Linked DNA regions of Ovis aries. The protein of the gene in region 3 purifies or fractionates together with the protein of the main gene of each other region. This does not show direct contact. Links are inferred from orthologs where the notes say so. Each region holds a gene or a part of one and is shown on either strand. Other genes may lie near its edges. The genes, in order: SMARCA5, HMGXB4, BPTF and SMARCA1.

Region 1 (5,847 bases), on a different chromosome or scaffold from region 3:
CACCCAATAAGAATGTGAATTTATGACATTCCAGAGAGAACAAGCCATGACTTCAAAAATGAGACTGAAATCAAAGGCACAAAAGTAAATTCTCAGGATGCAAACGAAACTTGGTAGGTTACAGGCAGCTAACTACCTAGAAGTGTGAAAAGTGACGATTATCTCAAGCAGTACGAAAAGGTAGGCCAAATCCTTTAATTTTTCTGGTTTTACCGAGATAAACTGACAGCTCTGGATGAGGTTTGAAGTGTACAGCGCAATGACAATGTTTAAAAAAATCCATCATTTAATACAGATATCCCATTTTTGATAAACAGAAAAAATATTGTGAAGAGAACTTCAGGATTTACTGTTATTTACTTTTAGTCATTATTTACTCTTAACAATCTTCATATCCAACATGCAGCAGTGTTACATTTATCATGCTGCACATCTTAAATACTTAATAATCTTGTAAGTGGAAGATAAATAAGTACAATAAACTCTGCACCCTTTAACTGCCTTCATCCAGTTCTGCTTCTCCCCTGGTTCCCACCTCTGGTAACCGAAATTCTCATCTCTTTCTATATAAGTTTGTATGTTTCTTGAAGCAGGCCAGTTCTATTACAAAAATATTAAGTATCGAAAAACTACTCCAACCAGAAAATAGTAAGAAGTACTTACATCAGCTGAATTAAAGACATCTGGTAACAAAAAATTAAGAAGTGACCAAAGTTCATGCAAGTTGTTTTGAAGAGGTGTTCCAGTTAATAATAGTCGATTTGTAGTCTTGAATTCCCTCACTATTTCTGACAACTGAAAGAACCAAATTCATCATTAGAATGAATAGTCTGCATATGGATCAAATTCTAAATGAAGGCACACATGATTTTCAAATCTAAATATCAAATTACCTTGGATTTTTCATTTTTGATCCTGTGAGCTTCATCAATAACTAAGTACCTCCAATTAAATTTTTTGAAAACAGACTTCTCTTTAATAAGCATTTCATAAGAAGTTACACATACATCCCATTCTCCTGGTAATAAAACATCTCTGACAAAAGCAGCCTGTTTAACAAAAGAAAAAAAATTATATCATGCAGAAATAAACTATACATTAAATTTATTGATAACAAGAGCATAGGCGGGGGGCAGGAGGGGGGGCGGAATACTAAAAAAGAATTAAGAGTTACCTATAGTACACAAGCAGCTACAACTAGCTCAAAGTAACTTCATTAATCCTATGTCACAGCCATGTAATAAATAACTGACAAAATTATTTGGTGCAAAAGTTGATAGACGAATTCTTAAAATGTCTTCTTTCCACAATTCCACTAAGTGTTGAAATTTTTTGGACACAGGTTTAGAAAAGGATAAAGAGTTTTCTGACATAAAGATAGATAAGGACTAAAGACTAGTTTGCAGTAAGCATTTTCATTCATTTTAAGTTTACAGATCTTTTAAGACATTGCTATGAATTTTCTCATTTTACAGGTGAAGAAACTAAAGCAAAGACTGGTTAAACCACTGGGTTTCAGGATTCTGAAACTTAAAATACCCGAAGTAGCTAAAAAGGGAGAAAAGAAATCTAGAGTCATACTGATAGCGGAATGAAGGGAAAACAAAACTTAATACACAGTCCTTCAATACAGTATGAGTCCATTTTTTAATCCAAATTTTATATTCTTCATAGTGACAATTATTTCCATTGTTGGTGGTGCTATTTTAGTCGCTAAGTTGCCTGATTTTGTGACTCCATGGACTGTAACCCACAAGGCTCCTCTGTCCACAGGATCTCCAAGGCAAGAATATGGAGTGGGTTGCCATTTCCTTCTCCAGGGCATCTTCCTGACTCAAGGATCAACCCATGTCTCCTGCATAGACAGGCAGATTCTTTACCACTGTGCCACTAGGGAAGCCCTCATTATTTCCATTTCCTCTCCCCAAAAGGATGTATCAACTGATCAATATTTTAACTTATTTTGATAGATATGATACCAACTTGTCAAGTTACTATTTACATTTCTACTACTTACATTATTATGAAGAAATTGCTCTAGAATGGGCATAAAGCCTTCAATTTTATAACCACCCCCTAAAAGCAGGCGGAACAAACTATATTCTTATAGCTTTCTACAGTCTACAATTCCTTTTTCCCCAGTATGAATCTTAGCCATCAAGATAATATTCCACTTACAAATTACTAATATTTATGAAGACCAGGCTTATTATTGGGACCCTTTCTCTTCTTTTATCCCTCCTCTAGTTATCCCCTTTCCCCAAACCTAAATTCAAATTCTTTTAATATCAACAATGTAACAAAATATGAGAAACTTACCCTCTGTTCTTTATCGCCTATTAAACAAACAGACCTAAGTGTTGGTACCCATCTCTTGAATTCACTCATCCAGTTGTGTAACGTAGACTTAGGCACCAAAACCATGTGAGGACCAGGAATGTTTCGATAGTGTTTCATGTACCCAAGAAGAGAAATTGTTTGAAGCGTCTTTCCCAGGCCCTGAAAGAGACAATAACCACAACGCTATGAAGCACGGAACAAAACAGACTCCCATATTTATTATTTCCTGACTGGTACAGAAACATTTAAAAGAAAAGCTGTATATACGCCTAACAAATAGCAGAAACTTGACCTGTGTCAAGTGGACAATGTTACGGCATTTAACCTTCACCAGTCTGTGAAGGATGTACCATTACCAACCCCCCAAAGCTCAGATATAAGCTTTCCCAGGGTCACCCAGCAGAGCTAGAACCAGAACCAATTTCTTCTGACTCCATTACTTTCTCCAAGCAATTGTCTTAGCACCGTAGCTATACAGAAACTTAGAACATTCACTATATAACTAGTAAATAGTAAACAAGATACAATGTTTTACAAGATAGAACGGTACAAGGTGCCATCACAGAGAAAATATTTACTGATGAGGTCCAACTAATCCCCCGTGTCTCAGAGAAGTGGGGGGAGTGAGGGGAGATGGCCAAATCATATTAGAAAAGTCAACCAAAGGCATGCTTCTCAAAACGTAGTATTTTAAAGTTTATTACACTTTCATAGATAATAATTCCTCACAACTGAAGTATAGATATAGATTCCACTTAGGCAACTAAAGTGAGCTCATTATTAGTCTGACACAGGATTAGCTTGCTAACAGTCTACAGTATAATCAATAAACTATATCTTACAAGTCTTAACTTTTATAAACCTAAATGGTATACAAGGTTTTAAATTATAAAACGTGGACTTCTACAAAAGCTATCAAACACATACCATTTCATCTGCAAGGATACCATTGATGCCATTCTCATACAAAGAAATGAGCCAATTTAATCCTCGGACTTGATAATCTCTCAGTTTACCCCATTTGACATCTAAGAACAAAAGAAAAATGACATGCACATTTTAAAGACAAGAATACAGGTGGGCAGCCCCTCCTTCATTTGACACTCAGAGGTTTAACTTGGGCCTATACACGTTTATTTTGACTGTGCCTTCTTCATTAGATTTTAAGAACGGGAATGTGGCAAGTTCCAAGTCAGGAAAGGTAGCTGCTGTGGTGTGGAGTAGAGAAGGAGCAGATGGATATGGAAGACAAGAAACACGACGGAAGGGGGAAGGCATCTGAGGCCCCCAGCCGCTCAGTCCTTATGTTACCATGTATCGGTTCTAGAGACTCTCCGGCCTATTTCCTTTCTCAAAGTCAGCGCAAGTGTTTCTAACCAAGAGTTTTCACCTTCCCTGATGACCAAAACAGAGGTTTGCTGGGGCCTGTGTTTTTCTCTTAACAAAGGGGAAATAAATAAAAATTATTAATAAAAGATTGTTTTTCCTTTACCCTTCCTTACTTTGCTTTTCCAAGAGATCCTACAAAAAGAAATGGTATCTTTCAGGGTTTACATTTCCCATCCCAGAATAATTACTAAGTATATGGATCACAAATAACCCAACTTAAAAAAAAAATACATGTATATTCTATATTCCATCCCTTTTGAAAACACTGCTCTGAGACGAAATGTTAGTCAACACTAGGAAAACTGGTTACACTGTAAGAATGTGAGAAAGAGTCAACTCAAATACTTCAAATTTCCTTTCTCTCTGCACCACAAATCTGGCTCTGGCCTCTAGCTTCATAATAAGAAGTGAAAACTGGGTACTCTGTAGCCAACAGAAAAAAAAAAATCTGGAGATACGCACTTTAACCAGACTAATGCATTTCTAACCAGATCCTACCCTCCTTGAAGTTTAGTCTGCTAAGAGTTCAAGATGACAGTTAATTATTAAAACATCCAATCCAAATTATAAACCCTGTACTACTATAAATTTTTCTTTTGCTCACAACCACTATGATCGTACAAACTTGTCATCAAGTGAGAAAGAGAAAGATCAGGGAAAAAAAATTACTGGGCTCAGTAAAAAAACTGTGCCACCAGACAACCAAGATTATACATGCACGCATGCTACGTCGCTTCAGTCATATCCGACTCTGCAACTTCACGGACTGCAGCCTGACATGGCTACATGGACTGTCCTCTGTCCATGGGACTCTCCAGGCAAGAATACCAGAGTGGTTGCCATGACCTCCTCCAGGGGATCTCCTGACCCAGGGATCGAACCCATGGGTCAGTCTCTAGCACTGGCAGGCAGACTCTTTACCACTAATGCCACTTGGGAAACCCAAGATTATACATAAGTAAAACCTAAACCTGGTTAACCATGTTTTCTTTTGGAAAACCATTTATAAACTTTAAAACAAAGACAAAATCAGGAGATGAGTAACAAAAAGTCTTTAATAACTACCTTTTCCTACACATCTTTCTTCTCTAGGGCAAATATATGGCAAATTCCATTCCCATTTTTACATATACATTCAGGAAACATCAAGCACAATGGTGATTTATGCCCTTTTGAAATACAGCATCACTATCATAATGATATACTATCACTTCTAGCCAAAAAAGTATCTGAAGTTCATTTCACAATCAATAAATTTCAAAGATTACTTAAAATTCCCTTTATAAATTATAGCCAAGAAAAACCCCAACATTAACCAAAGGCTACAAGTGGATGTTTTAAAGATTAAGTAATTAAATATATATAACATACATGATGGAGAGTCTTCAAACCGAGTGCAAACATTGGTTGCTTTGGAGCTTTCTGTTAATAATTCTTCATCTTCTTCTTGCTCTGTTCTTCGGTGTCGATAGCTGCCAAGTGTAAAATAAAATCAAGCCATCTGAGTCTTGGCTTTAATTACCAGCTTTCAACATAGTAGTCAAGAGGCTGACCAATATTTCACAGTATCTTAAGAGGCATGTAAATTAAGACTATAGAGTAATACCTTAGGTTAACCAGAACCTGATAAACATAAATGTGATAATCTAATTTCAATGAAGTATGCAGTAAGAAAAACCTCATAGTTTATATTTTAATGTGAAGTATTTTGCTCCCACTCCAAAAATAGTTCCCCCAGAAATCACATTTTAAAAACTACAACTTTCACCAAAAGCTACAGAATTTGCAGAACAGAGACTTAGGGCTTAAGGCAATGACTCTTTAACTAGAGATTCATCAGAATTACTTGAAGCTTTTTAAATATACATGCCCAGATTTTACATCCCAACCGAGTCACATACAGTCTCTTAAAAACTAATTTTTTGTAGGTATAATATTGCCAGATTTCTTAATCTCTAAAGGACTCAGGTTAGTAAAACTACTTACTCCCCAGTTTTCAAGTTTCCACTTATACCTATATACTTTCAACAAATACTTTCATTTAAATTAGAAAACAGTAGATTATATTCCACTCTTGTGATCTCTATATCTAAATTATTGCTTGATTTCTATTAAAAC
Region 2 (5,847 bases), on a different chromosome or scaffold from region 3:
TATGAGCTCCACCAGGCATATGCTACAACTGTAGACTGCGGGTCGGATCTGGCTAATAACTTGCTTTGTATGGCCTGTGAGCTAAGAATGGTTTTAGATTTTAAAATGGTTGTTGTAGAAGAAATAAAAATACATGACAGAGAATGCATATGGATCTCAGACCTAAAATATGTATTCTCTGGTCCTTTACAGAAAAGTGTGCTGACTCCTGACTTAACATTTTCTAAATATTGGGGGCAACCTTTAATATCTGGTATCTGGATATCAAGATCTGCTTCTAATATAGGCCACTCTCCCCATTTCTTAGTAAAGAAGCAAAATTCACAGAGCTGTGGGGAAGAGAATGAAAAGAGGAGAAGGAAGTGGTCATTACCTTTCACTTTCATGGAACCTTCTGAGCTGGATGCTTTTCTTTTCACAGTTGTAGCTTCTGCTTTGTTCTGTTTGTGTTGTAGATACTGAGCTTTTTGCTTCCAAACCTGCAATCAGATCAGGGCAAAAATAAATTTCAAAGGGCAAAAAACTGAAAGGGAAAGCAGTCATGGAAGAACAGAATGAAGAAAAGAAAAGGAACAGTGGAGGGGAGCAGACAGAGGATTAGTGTTTCTTTTTAAGCTGGAAGGTCACTGCACAGGCTTCAGGCAGTGGAGACAGCAGCATCTCAGGCGAGGACTAGGCACATCCTTCAGTGCTACTGCTCAGACGGCAGCATGCACTCTGCGATCCCTCTGCCTAAGGCTGGAACGTAAAAATCACAGAGGAAACCTCTGGCTCACCTTTATGTCCATCTGGTTTAAATATTTCTTCTAACCTGTCAGCTCGCAACACCAACAATAGGATAACCATGACACAAAACCCAGAAACTAAAGATACTCTACCTGGGTGAAAAATACATGTCATCTCACCTAGATGAGCAGTACCTTAAATAAAGCAAAATGGAAATTCTAATTTCTAGACCACCTTTATATCATCTGACTGTAAGTGACTGTGAGTGATTCAGGTATGACTATATCATTGTCTTATTAGTGTTTTGATAGGGCGGTATATTATTTGGTAATGGTTGATGGAGGTGATGACCCAGAACCTGTCTTCCTAATAAACAATGTCCCATGTTTTTATTATTTGCTGTGACTATGGAGCTCTTTCCTCAGTTCTCAGACCATAGCTAACTACTAGCTATAGTCAGGGGCTCTGACTTTAGATCCTCTTTTAACACGTATCATTGCCCAAGGCAGGTCATCTTTTGGCTCAAACGTAAGGTTGCTGAGAAAAAAAATTAGGTGAGGTTAGAAGACAGCCTCCCTGCAGCTAAATCCTCACCTAGAGTGAACTGGCACCAACTTGTTTACTGACCTCTAAGCCATTTTCCACCAATCTATAATTTTTCTTTTTTCCCCTATTTTCAGTGTTTGGGATTTTGGACTTCGCCAGGGGCTCAGAGGTAAAAGAATCTGCCTGCCAATGCTGAAGACATGGGTTTGATTCTTGGGTCAGGAAGATCCCCTGGAGAAGGCTATGGCAACCCACTCTAGTATTCCTGCCTGGGAAATCCCATGGACAGAAGAGCCTGGTGGGCTACAGTCCGTGGGGAAGCAAGAGTCAGACATAACTGAACAACTGAACAACAACAACAACATACGAGGATTACATATTTTGGAAGGACAGAGCAATGAAAAATGTGTCTGTGATAAAGTCTGCTTACCAGTTTGTCCTTCTCTGGCAACTGCTTCCACACCTCAGCCAGTTTTTTACTCAGTTCCCCAAAATCTGGCACAAAAGAGTAAGAAAACCCAGGAAAACTGAATACAGTAAAGGTTTAACCGTAAACAAAACAGAAGGCTGAACAGAACAAAAACTAGGAAGATGGTTTTGAAGATCAGATTTAAATAGCACAAGATTCTTTCAGAAAACCAAACCAAACCCTACCACTTCCCTTGGGTCTTTTATAGAAGGAAGGAGCTGTTTGGGTCGCTATGAGACAGGCTCAAAATCTCACACATCTACTCTTTAACAATTTATGCCTGATGCATCATATTGGTATCTTTTAATATGATCCCATGAAACATGGCTTATCTACTTAGGTTAAAGAAAAAATGTTATGTAGGATTTGATAAGAAATGTTAGGTTTTTACCAAATTTCTGAGAGCTCAGAAACAAAGGAGAATTTCTCTAGAGCAGCTCAGAAGCAATCTTTCAGATGTGTAATACTGTGCTCCCCACACTGTAGAGCAAGCTCACACTTTATAAAGCACATCTGAGTCTTTTCTGATGCTTCATGTGTGCCTCACAACAGCCCTGGTGAGAGGGTTGAGAAGCTAGTCCACACACTAGGCAGATGAGATTTGTAGATGTTACCTGACTTGTCCAAGGGCTGAGGTGTAGCGTTCTCACCTTACCAACTTCGATATAGAGACAAATAACGAACAATGTAATACGTCATCTCCATACCCAACTCCAACCCTATACTCCAACTCCATACCCAAGAGGCAGTTTGGGGAAAAAGTCAGCTGTAGAAGAATCTTGGAAAGAAACAACTGTATGTTTACATACTGTGCTTTTGGACAGGGTGTACTAAGGCAAAATCTAAAGTGACTTGTATAGTTGAGGAGAGAAATGAGATTTGTGTCCTTTTCAGACCATGGGAAGAACTTCGCCTGCTGACTGAATTAACTGCCTTGCTTCACAGATAGACATGGAAAGTAAGAACACTAAAAATGAGAAATGTTCTCACCTATGCCTGGATGGTCAGCCACAATGGTTACACGGTACTCCTTGCAGAACACTTGGTAGGCCGACATGTTCTTCTTTTTTGGCTAGTACCACATAAAAATAGAACAGGGTAAGACTTAATTAGAAGTCAAGTTGAACAACTTTGCGTCTGTGAGAACAAAGCAGAAAAGTGACCTGCACTTTTTCCTCAAGGGTCCTAAATTGCCAACCAACTTTCCTTAAACAGGATAATTATTAAACCATGTCACTTATGACTCAGAGATGAGTATCAGTTTTACTTTTAGAAGGTAAAAACCAGATGCTGATTTTTAGATTTTTCAGGTTGTTGCAGCTCCTTGATAATTGTTTGTAAAGCTCTTCATTCATCCTACAAATGTTACCTAATTCTTTTAGAATTGAGTGCTAAGCAAATCTTTATCTCCCCTGGGGTAGCTATTTTTCATCTTTAAAATAAGAACCACATAACTTTTCTTTACTTTGGGGCTAGAAAATCAAGAGCCAAATTTACGTTCATATTGTGCCTCTGGTTTTCATTTCTTCTTCTTTCTTTTGGTTCTGAGGCATGTGGGATCCTAGTGCTCCAACCAGGGATTGAACCTGCGCCCCCTGCATTGGATGTGCAAAGTCTTAACCACTGGATCACCAGGGAAGTCCCTGGCTTTGATTTCTAATCTTAAAATTTTCTTGATCCTGCTTTGACTGTCACTTGTAGTTTATCGTTATTTTATTGTTCACATTTTTGTGGTCCAAAGGTGAAAAGTAAATAAATAACTGAGGACAATTCTTTGGTACTCAATGTAAGATGAACCTCTTTCACATCAACAAAGTGTTTTGTACTACTTGAAGTATGTTTATGCTTCATTGAATTATGATAATTTCAAAAGCAACACAGGATTTTTGAGAAACAAGCTTTTAAAACCAACCAAGTGTATATAAAACAGAAGGTATTATACATTACCATGCATTCCATTTTACAATTAACCATAAACTTGGAAGAAAAAAGTTTCCCTACCTGAAAAGGCACATTAGATAGCACCTGTCCAACCCCCTCACTTTGAGGATGAAGAAAAGGAAACTCAGAAAAATAGTGACTTGTCTGGGTCCTGTAGCTATGCCGGTTGTAACACCAGAATGGCTACGACCCAGGCACCTGAACTTTAGGGCTATGCACTATGGGCCAAGGGAAAAATACATTGCTTCCTTACAGAAAAAGTTACTATTTCAGACTAAAAGGTTATCCCTTTATAACTTTTCTCTAATATACTGAGATGTTTTCAGTCTGGCTTTCCTTACAACCTCATTTGTAAGTATCAAAGTACAATGATTGGTCCTCCACCTCCTTCCAAGATAGTCCTTTCTGGTCCTGCAAGTTATTATAATCACATGAATGTCTGGTGCTTTAAAGCTGCTGGAAACTTTTGTTTGCCTCAAGAGTTATATTTTACAATCAAAACAAAACAACAAACAACACCATGCCTGTCTCATGACTTCAGAGCTGCACCTTGTTTAAAACAAAGTCTAATCACGCACTTTGGGTTCACCTGACTTAATTCTTAATATTGTTTTCATAAAACCACTATCCTCAAAGACCAAAGGCTAGCCAACACTTTTTTTGTTGTTCAGTCGCTCAGTTGTGTCCAACTCTTTGTGACCCTATGGACTGCAGCATGTCAGGTTTCCTTGTCCTTCGTTATCTCCTGAAGTTTGCTCAAAGTCCATTGAGTCGGTGATGCCATTCAACCATCTCGTTCTCTGTCACCCCTTCTCCTCCTGCCCTCAATCTTTCCCAGCATCAGGTCTTTTCCAGTGAGTCGGCTCTTTGCATCAAGTGGCCAAACCACTGAAGCTTCAGCTTCAGCATTAATCCTTTCAATGACTATTCAGGGTTGATTTCCTTTAGGATTGACTGGTTTGATCTCCTTACTGTCCTAGGGACTCTCAAGAGTCTTCTCCAGTGTCATGGTTTGAAAGCATCAATTCTTCAGAGCTCAGCCTCCTTTATGGTCCAACTCTCACATCCATACATGACTACTGGAAAAACCATAGCTTCAACTATATGGGCCTATGTTGGTAAAGTGATGTCTCTGCTTTTTAATATGCTATCTAGGTTTGTCATAGCCAACACTTAAGACAATAAAAAAAGCTGTGTGACAGCTCTGACTTGAATTCCCAAAGGAATTCTGAAACCATTTTTGAAGAATGGAAACAACCCTGAGACATCTCCCAAAGTACCTGCTCTGAATGAGATAGCACTTCTTTGGCTATAAAAATTATGGCATGTTTGTTATAAATTTACCTTCAAAAATTTCAGACCAGTTTTTTAAAGACAGCTTATTCATAGAACTGACATTTGGCCATATTATAAAACTTGTAAGGAGTTTTAACAATGTTTCCTTAGACAAGACTGTGAAAGGTTATTGCCCTCTATTTCACAAGGCTATCTACAGCTATAACATAAAACTAAAATGACTTTTATAGAATGAATCACAACTCTTATTCAATACATTAGATCCCAATCCACATTCTGAAGAAAGGAGTTCCTCTCATAGCTCTCATAAGGACTTTATTCAATTGTGTAGAAAATAAGCCTGCATCTTTTGAGTACCTGTACTGGGTATGTGAAGTGGCTCAGTTGTGTCCGACTCTTTGTGACCCCATGGATTGTAGCCTACCAGGCTCCTCCATCCAAGGGATTTCCCAGGCAAGAGTACTGGAGTGGGTTGCCATTTCCTTCTCCAGGGGATCTTCCCAACCCAGGAACTGAACCCGGGTCTCCCACACTGTAGTCAGACACTTTACAGTGAGTAGTTAAACAGGATAAGCTTTTGAAGTCCAGATCTTTTTCTAAGGCAGTCAAGCAGCATAAAACGGTGGAAAAACTTTAAAACATAAAGTTCGAAGGCCCACCATCTTTTCTCAGCTTCAACTTATACTAACGATTTGATCCTGAATAAAACACAGGAGAAATGGATAGCTCTTCTGACATGTGACGTTAAAAGTATTTCAGTGGCAAAGAAGGAAAAGCAGAGACTAACAAGGAGGAGATCGCAAAGGAAACATAGTAACCCATCAAAGTACTCTGTACTCTTCATTTCTTAATATTTACTGAGCATCCAC
Region 3 (5,847 bases):
GTGTTCCCGCTCCATCTCTATCTGCTGCTGCTTCTTCTTTTGCTGCTGCTCCCTGAGTTGCTGAACCCTCTGCAACTGCTCTTGCACACTGGCTGCCTGTACTGTGACCACACTCTGGATGTGGTGAGTCTGCACAGGGCTGCTCTGCTGAATCTGAACGGGCAACTGGAGTCTGATCTGCTGGGGCACACCACCTTGCTGAGCCTGTATCTGAGCCACAACCTGCGACTGGATCTGGGAGAGAACCTGGACTTGTGGTGGCAGCTGCGGCACAGCCAGGACTTGGGGCTGAGGCTGCGGTACTTGGAGCGGAGGACGGGGCGGGGATGCAACAGTAACTTGACTTAACGTTTGTCCTGGTGAAAGAGTTTGAGTTGAAGACTGTACCTGGGGTTGTGACTGTGGCTGGCCCTGGGAAGGTGTCGGAAGAGATGTGTGTGGCTGGATTGGAATCGGTTGGGAGGCTGCAGTCTGACCCTGGGCCTGCTGTCCGGGAGACACTTGGGATGGCGTCGATGGGCGTGCTCGAGTCTGTGGCGGGCTCTGGACGCGAGCAGGAGGCTGTCCTTGGCCATTGCTCTGAGGCGGACACTGTCCTGCAACCTGGGCTTTGGAGGACTGTGCTTGGGTGGGCTGTGCTTCAGGAGGGACATGGGAGGCCACAGCTGTTTGGGTCTGAACTTCAGGCTGAGTCTGAGTTTCAGGCTGAGCTGGGGACGGGGGCTGGGTTTGGGGCTGGGGCTGAGCTGAAGGCTGAGCTGAAGGCTGAGCGGGCTGAGCGGGCTGCGCAGGCTGAGGCTGGGCTTCTGGAGGACTCACGCTCGACGGCGGAGCTGGAGGCAGGCTTTTGGCTGGCTGCACCTGTGTCGGGGACGATAATTTACTCTGTCTTTGTTCACTTGTACCTGTGAAAAGGCAAGAGCAAATACTTATGACTCTAGAACGTAAGACTGTGGTTTAAGAAGAATTTGAAGGGGATTTTCTAAAGGAGAGAATTCTACATTTCAGGACAGAGGACTGAAGCTTAGAAATGCTCCATCTAGAAATACTTCGGTCAGAACTCGCCTCTCAGGGAACCTCGCCATGTTCATGGCTGCCTGCCACACGTTTTGCGAGGTCTCCGGAAGGCTGGCTTCCGAAGCAAAGCGCATTCTCTGGACATCAGTCCGGACTTGTGGCCCAGGCTAAGCTACCCGTATCCCTCTCCTACGGCATGGGGTCAGTGAACAACAGCAGCTTGCAGGGGGAGGCTCCCAGACTGCTCCAGTTTGGGAGCTCTCAGTCCTAGCTTATGAGCTGGACAGACCATCTGCCTGGTGAGCACATCCGTGATTCACTCAGCAACTACAAGTTTGGGAGAGAGCAGGAGGGGGCACGGTCGCCATGGCGTTTTACTACTGTGCGCTACCCCCTGCTTTCCTCATTTCCTAAAGGGGGAGAGGGGTGGCAACAGGGAGTCTGTCCGAGCAAGAGATCTGGTCGAGCCCTTGTGAGGCTGACCAGTCAGCTGTGGCCGCTCCTCAGCTTGGGGCACATCCGCCCAAGGAAAGCCCCAGTCCTCTTGCCTCCTTGGTCACCCAGCAACTTGTGACACCAACGAGCAGCACTTCCGACAGCCCCCAAGTTCTACCTGCTGCTGTAGTAGAGACGGTGGTGGTGGTGGCGCTGGTGGTGGTAGCTGTGGTTGCCAGCGGGGTGAAGAGGAATCGCTGAACGGTACCATTTGGCATTGCAGCTTGCATCAGCTGCTGTCCTGGACCCGGAAGTATCGTCACCCCTTGAGGTATCAACTGCAACTGCCCAGTAGTCTGACCTTGTCCTTGAATCACCACTGTCAAACCTTGATTGCCACCCTACAGAAAAAAAACACCTAACATGTAAAGAGTATTCAAAAAACATCAATCTCTAAGTATACTTGTTTTTATATTGAAAAGATCCTTTAAAATAATGAAACTCTGTATTTCAATGTCTATGGAATAGTACCAAGAGAAATACAGATAAGCTAAAAGAACGGCATTTATTTTAAAAGACTGATGGTGATTAGTGGAAAAAACATGAATTAACAATCCAGAGTTTCAGTCTGAGTTCTGCACATGGACAGCCAGGAATCTGTCTATGAGTAACACCACTTACCTGGATCTAAGTCTCCCAGTCTATAAAATAAGAGCATTGAAGTGACTAACTAAGGTCTCCACAAAATTCTGAGTTTAAATCACCTTATTTATATTCGTATTATTTTATAACTTTTACATACTTTAGACATGCCTCATTTGATTCTCACAATAGACTTGTGACTTTGTGGTAAGGAAAGAAATATTACTACACTCTTCCTACCAATTAGGAAACTCAAGTTAGAAAGTTCAAAGTTCCTTGCCGACAATTAGAGAGCAAGTCCAAGGTGAGACACAGTGAGAAGCCCAGGTCTCCTAGTTTCAGCTTTTTCACTAGGTACCAAACGATCTATGGTGTGTGTGTATGCTGAAGCATAGAAAGCTTAGGGTTCTACACATGGAATGCAAATACCACGTGAGGAAGGTCACTAATGTCTGCGTTGTCACCAAAATGGGGACCAGGAACTAAAAACTCCATATGTACTACCGCTTCTGTCCAGGACTTATTCATCCTCAGCCACCAGGAGCATGAGGGAGAATGAGGAAGCAAATGTAAAACCAATCCACCCCAAATCTCCAACAGTCGAAACTGACACTGCAAAGTTCACTTACTAAGCTCCATGCACTTTTACTCATGAGCCCCTTATTCACTCTTGCTTTTCTAAAATACTTTCTGTGTGCACAGTCAAAACTGCATAAAACACAAAGTATAAAGAATAATTATGAAGTGAAGATCTATAAACCCAGCATTCAGGTCATCATCGCCAGCATCCAAGAAGCTCTGCATGTGACCTGCTCTGATCTTCATCTCCTTCCTTTGCCCTAGAGGGAAGCGCTAATTTCACGGATACAGTACCTGCATTTCATCGCGCTGTGACCACTGAGGTGTATACAGATCTCTACGAGGCCATAGGCTCATGACTTCAGGAGCACCATTATTTACAAAGAATATGAAGGGTGCCCTTTGGTGTCCCCTCCAGGAAGGCAATGCAGCAGCCCCCTAATTCTGCATAATGTAGCTAGTTTTGCCTGTTTCTGAATCCTAGGCAAGTAGATCATAATGTATGTTTGTTACCTGCTTCTTTATTTAGCTCAACAATGTAGTTCTACATTGCGGTAGTTTGTTCATTTCAGTTGCTGTAGGAAGGCATTACCGCTTTACTGATCTAATCGATGGCGGCTGTGTATATTCCTGTCCGTTATTCTGGGGCTCAGACGAACAAGAACTTTTCAAGAGAACATACCTAGGAGGGTAACTGCTGTGACCTGGGGCATGCTGTGTCTTCAACTTTGCTAGGAAGTATTGAGGAGTTTTCCAAGGTGGCCAAACCAATTTACATTATTATCAGTTGTGTATGAGAGTTCATTCTACTCCACGTTTTTGCTTTTCTTGATTTTGTCTGACATTTTCCTTTATACCAATCTCTTAATATATGGTTTTAATACACATTTCCCTCATTACTAACAAAGTTCAGCAGTTTTTTGGATTTGTGGACATTTAAGAGTTCCTCTATTCTCATCAAGTGTGTCTATTCTTATTTTCTACCAAGTTATCTGGATTTTTCCCCATCTTAATCTGTAGTAGTAACTCTTCATTTCTGGAGAACAATCCTTGGCTGGCTACATGTGTACCTTCCCCTCACTCTTTTCACTCTTTCATGTTTGATGGACTAAAGTTCTTACTTCTAATGCTGAATTTATAAATCTTTTCCTTTATGGTGAATATTTTCTGTCTTTAAGAAAGCCTTTCCTACCTTCTGACAAGTACTATAGTCTTATCTTTTACAGCCAGGACTTTAATCTTTCTGGAGCCGAGTTTATGAGTGAGGTTGTGGTCCAAGCCAGGACCTTTTATTGAAAAGTCTGTCCTTGATCCACACTGCCATCCAGGTCATATGTCAAGTGTCCACATATACATATGGGTCCTCTTCTACTGTTCTGTACCGACTGCTCTACCTATCCTTGTGTCTGAACCTTACTGTATTAATTAGTGAAGGACTACAATTTAAAGTCTTTGTATCAGGTAACTACATAGGGCAAATCCTCCTTTTCTTCAAAAGTATTAACAGTTATTCTGGATCCTTTGAACTTCCACATAAATTTTTTAAAAACCAGCTTGTCAAACTTTAAAACACCTCTCTTGGGATTTTGATGGCAACCACATTCACTCTATGGATTACTACTGGAAGAACTGATAGAACTGATAGTAACGCTGGGTGTTGCAAGGAAACGGCTTGATGTACTCAAATTTCATTTTTCCCAAGCAAATTAGTTAACTAGTAAAATTTTGGTGGTTCAGTGTGTTATCCACCCTGCTATTACAGCACACAATCTCAGCATTCTGGACAGTTGAGGGGATCACATCCTGCCTTTAAGAAGTACTTTTCTTTGACTTTAGGAAGCAGCCATTTCTTAAAACAAGTATATTTTTAAACCTCTGAAAATAAGTCCATGTTTTAAAACTCACAGCAGATGTAAACAAGATCACTTCTAACGTGAAAAGGGAAGTCACATTACTTACGTGGCCCTGTGTTAACTGAGTGAGCTGAGCCATGGTAAGCTTCACCTGTCCTTGCTGGGGACGAGGGGGCTGTGAGGCTGAAGGCTGCAGACTCGCAGTGGATGTTCCTGAAGATAACCCTTTCTGTGCAGGTGTGGAGGAAACGGTACTAGGGGCAGAGATCGCAGTGGAGACAGGCTGCCCTCTGATGATCTGTGTCACCACCTGCTGAGGAGCACCTATGTAAACAGGGAAACATTAGAGTGCTTCTGTGCCCAGAGTGGTCCTCTGAGTTGAGATATATCTTTCAACACTTCGCATGAATGTATCTTCTCAATTTTCAAAAAGACTTATGGGATGCCGACAGACAGACGCCTTTAGTCATATACCCCTACCCGAAGGACCCACCAGGTTGTCAATGAGTCTGTTTTCACTCAGCTCACTGACAACCTCTCTCCCTTTCCTGTTCTCCGTAGAAGAGTTAAAAAAAAAAAAAAAAAACAATGCTCTTCCTGTGACTCTAAAGCCAAAATGATAATAGGGAAGATGGAGGAGAATATGTAAAAAATGCCGTTAGGCAGTCTTTCCTTAGGAATACAAATTAAAAATAACAACACACAATTAACTAATGTAATTTTTAAACAAAACACATATAATCTGGAATATTCTGGGCCAATTATATTTATAAATGAGCTTTTCTTACAGCTATCTGCCAAACAGTTTGGGAGAAGCAAGAGGTCAAGGACCCCTATATATCTTCAATATTAGAGCAATGTGCTTAACTAATGCTTTCATATTTACTCGTCAATAACTGTCTATAGAATGAATGAAGTTTAACTGAAATGGCTCTATCATCTTCTTGAAAAACTGTTTCTCATTTAACCTGATATAACTGGAAAAAAAAATCAGATGGTAATTATCTGGTAGCTGGTTTTATACTTACAAAGTCTGAATTCATTATTCATTAGTAAATAACATCATATTTCTGAAGTTTTATGTTCGCATCCTGTTTGTCCTTTTGTGTCTACATATATATTTCTGTGTATATTTCTTTTAATGATTGGTGGTTAATATTACTGCATTATGTATAAAATTAAATCGATTTTGACCCTTAGAACACTTTCCCCTTTTCTTTTTTTAGATAACACCATGGTGAAATCCCTGCTTATAAACTTTTTTGTGCTTCTAATTATTTCCTTAGAATGAACTCCTCCCAAAGATACTGTGTTCACAGTA
Region 4 (5,447 bases), on a different chromosome or scaffold from region 3:
TCAGGTTAGGTCCGATTCCAGTACCATCTATTAGACCACTTTTACTGGTGGCCTGGAGCACTGTGCCTCTGTCAAATTGCATTCATGGATACAGCACTCTTCCACTGCTTCTGGTCTCTGAGCAGCTGACACGGTAACTGACTATCCTGTTCTTCCAATCCAACACGGCAGTCAGGTCCAGGGTTACTACCCCAACAGCCCAGGCCTCTGGTGTGAAACAGGATTTATTTGTTGGGACTTTTAACTTTTCTATGATGGTTTAATTTCTCTGTGGAAAATTGACAATCAGAGGGGTTTCCTATGGAGACTTGGGGCATTCTGCATTCCCAACACCGTATGGTTTGGACTGTGCTATCATCTGCTTGTTCACTGTGTGGACCTCCTTGGCAGGCTACATTCACCAGAGATGCTGCACATAATCTAGGAGAGCTGAATTTCCCATCTCTTGGGTCCAAGAAAGAGCCATATGGCCAGGAAAATGGTCCCATGAAAAAGCGTGGAAGAACTTACCTGCAGATTTTCTCTCCTAAAGTAGATAGCCATTACCCCCTTAGGGTTAATGGCTAAGTCATTACAGCTTAGTCATTACCCCCTTTGGGTTAACAGAAAAAGAACAAGAAGTAAAGATTGTTACATGTCCGTGAAAGAAGTTCAAAGATCCTAATTGTACCTGCTCCCATCCTGAACCTTCATTTCTCCCCAAGAAATGCTGAACTGATTGATCAGAGTCCAAGACCCTAATTGGGATATTGTTCAGTGCACAGAACTTGTGGGTATTAATAAGACTCTCTAATGTATAATTTTCTCCATCTCAGATGACTGGAACTTTTAATTTCACTGGAGTGGAAAATTCTGAGATTTTATTTTGGATTTAAGAGCTCTGGATTGTAGTTTGGAGCAAAGCACCAGCTAGTGAAGTATGACTTTGCTTACCTTTGCCTCTTTTGTGAACCTTATAGCAAGGGTGGTTAAGCCAAGGATAGATTTGGATATCTCTGGGTTCCTTGACCTAACATCATTGTAAACTCATCTCTTAATAGCAACCCAGTTTCATCCAAACCTTCAACAGAGTACAAGTCTCCTAATAGTGGAAACAGTAAAAAGAATCCAATCAGGAGCACGGCAGTAAGAAATATGAAATCTGGACAATGGAAGAGTCAAGAGTCTTCAAGACTTGGAAGAGTCCAGCAGACGATGGGTTGTCATTCTAGAAGACCTATTCCTATGTTGCAGAACCCCAACGACAATGAGGATGTGAAAGATGCTGACTTGCACCAAGCTTTGCCAGTGGTACACTAAACAGAGTCGGAGAGGAAATGCAAAAAGATCTTGGGTCAGGGAGAGAGCAACTCTTCAGTTGTCCAGATTTTGTTTTAATAACAAACACCACCATCCCACATGCCCAGCTTTACTTAACTGCTATGCATTTCACACTAGGCTCTGATCCATTTTCCCTGTTTCCTCATAACTTGATCTTGACTCTGATTAAGCACACACTAACAGTTTTGTGTGACAGCCCCTGTGGCAGAGGCAGTAATGTAAGGCATTCCATTTATTCTCCTACATTTGCCAGTCCTCTGGCACATACACAAGACCATGTGACTAGTTTTGGACAATGAAATATAAATGGGTGTGACATCTGTCTCTTCTGGACTGAGGCAATAAAGAGCCTCTATGTGATTCTCCAGACTCCTGTTCTCCTATGGTGGCAGCTGAATAACCCACATGTTCTAGATGGTACAGATACGAAACATGGGAGCCTCAGTCGGACTGGAGCCTGGAGTGACTGTGTGGAGCAGATCTCCTCCCATCTCACATCCCACTGGCCTGTGTGGGGGTCTGTAGTGTGGGAAAGATAGAAGCTCTTGGTATATAAAACCTCGGATACTCTGTCTTGTGAACTGAGCATACTTGCATTCCTATGGAAGACCTCCCCCTTTCTTCTGCATGCATGCTGCTTATTTCATACTCGCAACTGAGTTGTTAATAAATCTACGTGTTATACCCAGACTCCCCTGAACTGGCTCTATGTGATAAAAGATCAGGCACAAGTCAGCAAGCAAAGCTTTAACTTTCAACCAAATACATAGTTGTGAACAATACAATTCAGTAAACACAACTATTTTCTACTGCACAAAACACAGGAAATAATTAAATTTCTTATAGACATTTCTTTATTATACTTTCCCACTTGAATATTTAGAGAATAATTTAAATGTAATGCATACTGACAGCAAGCACAGTATCAAATATTAGTTTTTTTAATAATTTTCTGTTCTCACCCTTTATTCCTTTAGGAAAAAAATATTTAGATGACCTCAAAGAAACAATTATTATGCTAATCACAGTATGCAGTAACACGTACAAGCCCATACTCAATAGAAAAGAAAGCAACAAAGAAGTGAAAAAGTCTTTCTCCTCAAATCATTTTAATTCATTTTTCCACAGCCATATAAATTTAAAGTATGAAACAACAATAATACAGCTATAGAATCTAGGTTCTCTTTCAAAGCAGCGGCATATAAAACATAGAAAAGCTAAAACCTCAGCACAAGCTTCAAAAGAACAAGGACTGAGAGGATTTAGATGAAGACATGAAATACACAAAATACAGTACACAAAAATACTAGAATGCATAAAATCTAAAGCTACACATTTCAGGTAGAAAGCATTGTAAAATATATAAAATATGCAAGAAATCAAAACCAAATTGATTTTTCTTAGAGTACCATGAATACACTGGAACTGGCAATTAGCATTTGAAGATGGGAACAAGAAAATAGCAGTTTCCCATTTAAAACTTTATTTCTAGGCTTTAGGATTTCACCTTCTTGACATCCTTCTTTCCAGAGCTCTCAGTAGCTGACTCTGCTTTTCTTTTCTGTGACTAAAATGGAAACAGATTTAATGTTCTGCTCCAATATGCACATTTTTAAATGGCCCAACAATGTTAAATCTAGGATGTAAATGCATCAAAAAAAAATTTTAACATGAATATTCACTTAAATGTTATACTCACAGTTAATGTTCTATATAACCCAACAAACTATATAACCCAATGTAAAATAACCTCCAAACATGTTTTCTTGTTAAGAAAAGACATAAAATACCCATCAAAAATAGTCATCAAGTTTCTACTTACACATGATACTAAAAATGTATGCTTAAAGAACTACTTAATACTTAAAATTTTCTGGGAAAAATGTTAATTATGAGTGTATTACTTTTGAAATGTTATGATAGATGCTAAAATACCATATTTCATATATTCTATGATGCACACTTGTTTCCCACTTTAGCATCTCTGAAATCAGGATGCATTCTGGAATTGATGACAAATCAGTTACTTGGCAGCAGTTTTTCTTAGTAGCACATAAAATAATGCTTTGTCTTACAATGGAAGGCATCTTAGACTTGATGAAATATGGTAGTTTACTTAACCACACTCAAATAATATGTTAAAGAGTACTTGAAATTCTAACTATACAAGGCAACCTGACTGAGTTAAAATCATCTTACTATTAACAGTTAACTTATTACCAAGTAAATCAAGTAAAGCTTTGCTGTCTCCTCAAAGTTCTTATTTGTATTCATAGTTCCACAAAGATCAGAAAACTTATTTGATCAAATCAGAACTCTCAGTTTCAACCTCAGCCCCACCCCACCCCACCCCTCTTCTACTCCCCATGACAACTCCAGTCTCAGTTCAGAGGATTTTACTTGCATTACACTTCTGCTTAAAAGTAATGAGAAATTTTTAAAAATACTGAGCCCTGTTACTAGGGAGTTCCTAACCGTATACGCTACAAACAGATAGGAAACACGTGGTTGTAGTGTAATTCTTTTTCTGTCAAAAACAAATCAGCATTTCATAAAAACCAGTCTTTATAATAGGTATCACTATAGCATTAAACATAATATAGGCATTTTAATTATGTAAAAAAAAATGGGATCTACCTAAAAGTTAGGAAAATGCTGAAAATTTTACCATTGGAGTTTTAGTTGCCCGTTTCTTCTTTTCTGCTCTCTCTCTTTCCTCAATTTCCATATTTTCTTTCTCAATCAATGAAATCAGAGTATTACAGCGTCTCTGGAATTCCTGAACCAAATAAAGAAGACTTTTAATTTCTGCAACCCAGGTACAACCTTCAAAAAGTGGTAATTGTTCGATTCTATCACTTCTGTGACAGAGAATTTTCTAAATTGGTATTCTTCAGAACAATATTCAAACAGGCTATATTCCACTAAATATATGATAAGTGGATAAATATCATTCAGTGGGAGAGTGGGTAAACTGTGGTACATCCATATCATGAAATACTGCTCAGCAGTAAAAAGGAAAGAGCTATTGGTATATGCAGAAACCTAAATGAACCCTATCTGAGTGAAAAAAAGCCAATCTCAAAAGGTTACATAGCACAGTGTTCCATTTATATAACAAATTATTAAATGACAGAAGTTTAGAAATTGCCAGGGACTAGAAAAAGGGGGTCAGGGGGTGTGACTTTATAGAGCCAGCACGAGTAAATCTTCTGGTGGTGCTAGTTACATGTACCTATGTGTGATCAAATTGTACTGAACTACACACTCATGAGGGCACAGCAACCCACTTCAGTATTCTGGCCTGGAGAATCCCATGAATAGAGGAGCCTGGCAGGCTACAGTCCATGGGGTCACAAAGAGTCAGACACGACTGAAGCAACTTAGCACACACATACACACTCATCCACACACACAACCATGTGCACACACACCCACACACAAGAGTTCATCTATAACCAACGAAATCTGAATAAGCTCTTTGGATTGTATTAATGTCCATTTTCTGATGTTGACACTGTCCTGTGTTTATGGAAGATGTTGTCATCTGGGAAAACTTGGTGAAGGGTGCATGGGCCCTCCCTGGACATCTCTTCACAGCTTCCTGTGAATCTATAAATATTTCAAAACAAAAAGTTAACAAAAGTCACATTAAAAAAATGAGGGGATGTCCTCTTGTCAAAGTACGATTTGGAAGTACTCAGCTTACAAAAGTCAGATTTCTTTTCTATAGGGATGCTCAGAGCCTTTAAAGTTCTAATAAGCACTGTCAACCACTAGGGTAGGAGATGGAGAAAGCAAGCAATTCAATCAGCCATTCAATCAGCAGAAGTCTCTTCTCAAAGCATACCTCGTGGGATCAGAGTTCTGAGGAAACACTGCTGCAGTTGTTAATTCAAAGCAAACAATAGCTGGAAAGATTCCACATTAACCTTGCCACTACCTATATTTCACTGCCAGCAAATCAATGCATCCAAACTATAAACAGCTTTTATGAACGTATGGTGAACGTTAAATATATGATTCATTAATATGGACGCTCATATATTAACCTGGTATATTTTGCTGTATTTGAAAGGTAAATAATGGCTTAATATCAAAGGATAAATAACATTTAAAGTGGTTTC

What was found.
Region 1: the proteins of BPTF (region 3) and SMARCA5 purify together in Homo sapiens (affinity purification with mass spectrometry; 4 studies listed by BioGRID and IntAct, with this or other methods). This does not show direct contact. The link is inferred for Ovis aries from reciprocal best matches to the Homo sapiens genes BPTF and SMARCA5.
Region 2: the proteins of BPTF (region 3) and HMGXB4 fractionate together in Homo sapiens (co-fractionation; 3 studies listed by BioGRID, with this or other methods). This does not show direct contact. The link is inferred for Ovis aries from reciprocal best matches to the Homo sapiens genes BPTF and HMGXB4.
Region 4: the proteins of BPTF (region 3) and SMARCA1 purify together in Homo sapiens (affinity purification with mass spectrometry; 4 studies listed by BioGRID and IntAct, with this or other methods). This does not show direct contact. The link is inferred for Ovis aries from reciprocal best matches to the Homo sapiens genes BPTF and SMARCA1.

The regions. Positions count from the first base shown.
Region 1 is NC_056070.1:14,448,527-14,454,373, forward strand, and holds part of SMARCA5 (SWI/SNF-related matrix-associated actin-dependent regulator of chromatin subfamily A member 5), read right to left. Parts: intron 5,202-5,847; coding exon 5,101-5,201; intron 3,369-5,100; coding exon 3,268-3,368; intron 2,500-3,267; coding exon 2,320-2,499; intron 1,050-2,319; coding exon 894-1,049; intron 796-893; coding exon 664-795; intron 1-663. UniProt on the Homo sapiens protein: ATPase that possesses intrinsic ATP-dependent nucleosome-remodeling activity.
Region 2 is NC_056056.1:179,143,770-179,149,616, reverse strand, and holds part of HMGXB4 (HMG domain-containing protein 4), read right to left. Parts: intron 2,814-5,847; coding exon 2,732-2,813; intron 1,768-2,731; coding exon 1,703-1,767; intron 480-1,702; coding exon 374-479; intron 1-373. UniProt on the Homo sapiens protein: Negatively regulates Wnt/beta-catenin signaling during development.
Region 3 is NC_056064.1:48,712,919-48,718,765, forward strand, and holds part of BPTF (nucleosome-remodeling factor subunit BPTF), read right to left. Parts: intron 4,851-5,847; coding exon 4,633-4,850; intron 1,854-4,632; coding exon 1,631-1,853; intron 906-1,630; coding exon 1-905. UniProt on the Homo sapiens protein: Regulatory subunit of the ATP-dependent NURF-1 and NURF-5 ISWI chromatin remodeling complexes, which form ordered nucleosome arrays on chromatin and facilitate access to DNA during DNA-templated processes such as DNA replication, transcription, and repair.
Region 4 is NC_056080.1:113,398,501-113,403,947, forward strand, and holds the end of SMARCA1 (probable global transcription activator SNF2L1), read right to left. Parts: intron 4,100-5,447; coding exon 3,989-4,099; intron 2,957-3,988; coding exon of another isoform or gene 2,951-2,956; exon of another isoform or gene 2,888-2,950; coding exon 2,816-2,887; 3' UTR 2,157-2,815; downstream 1-2,156.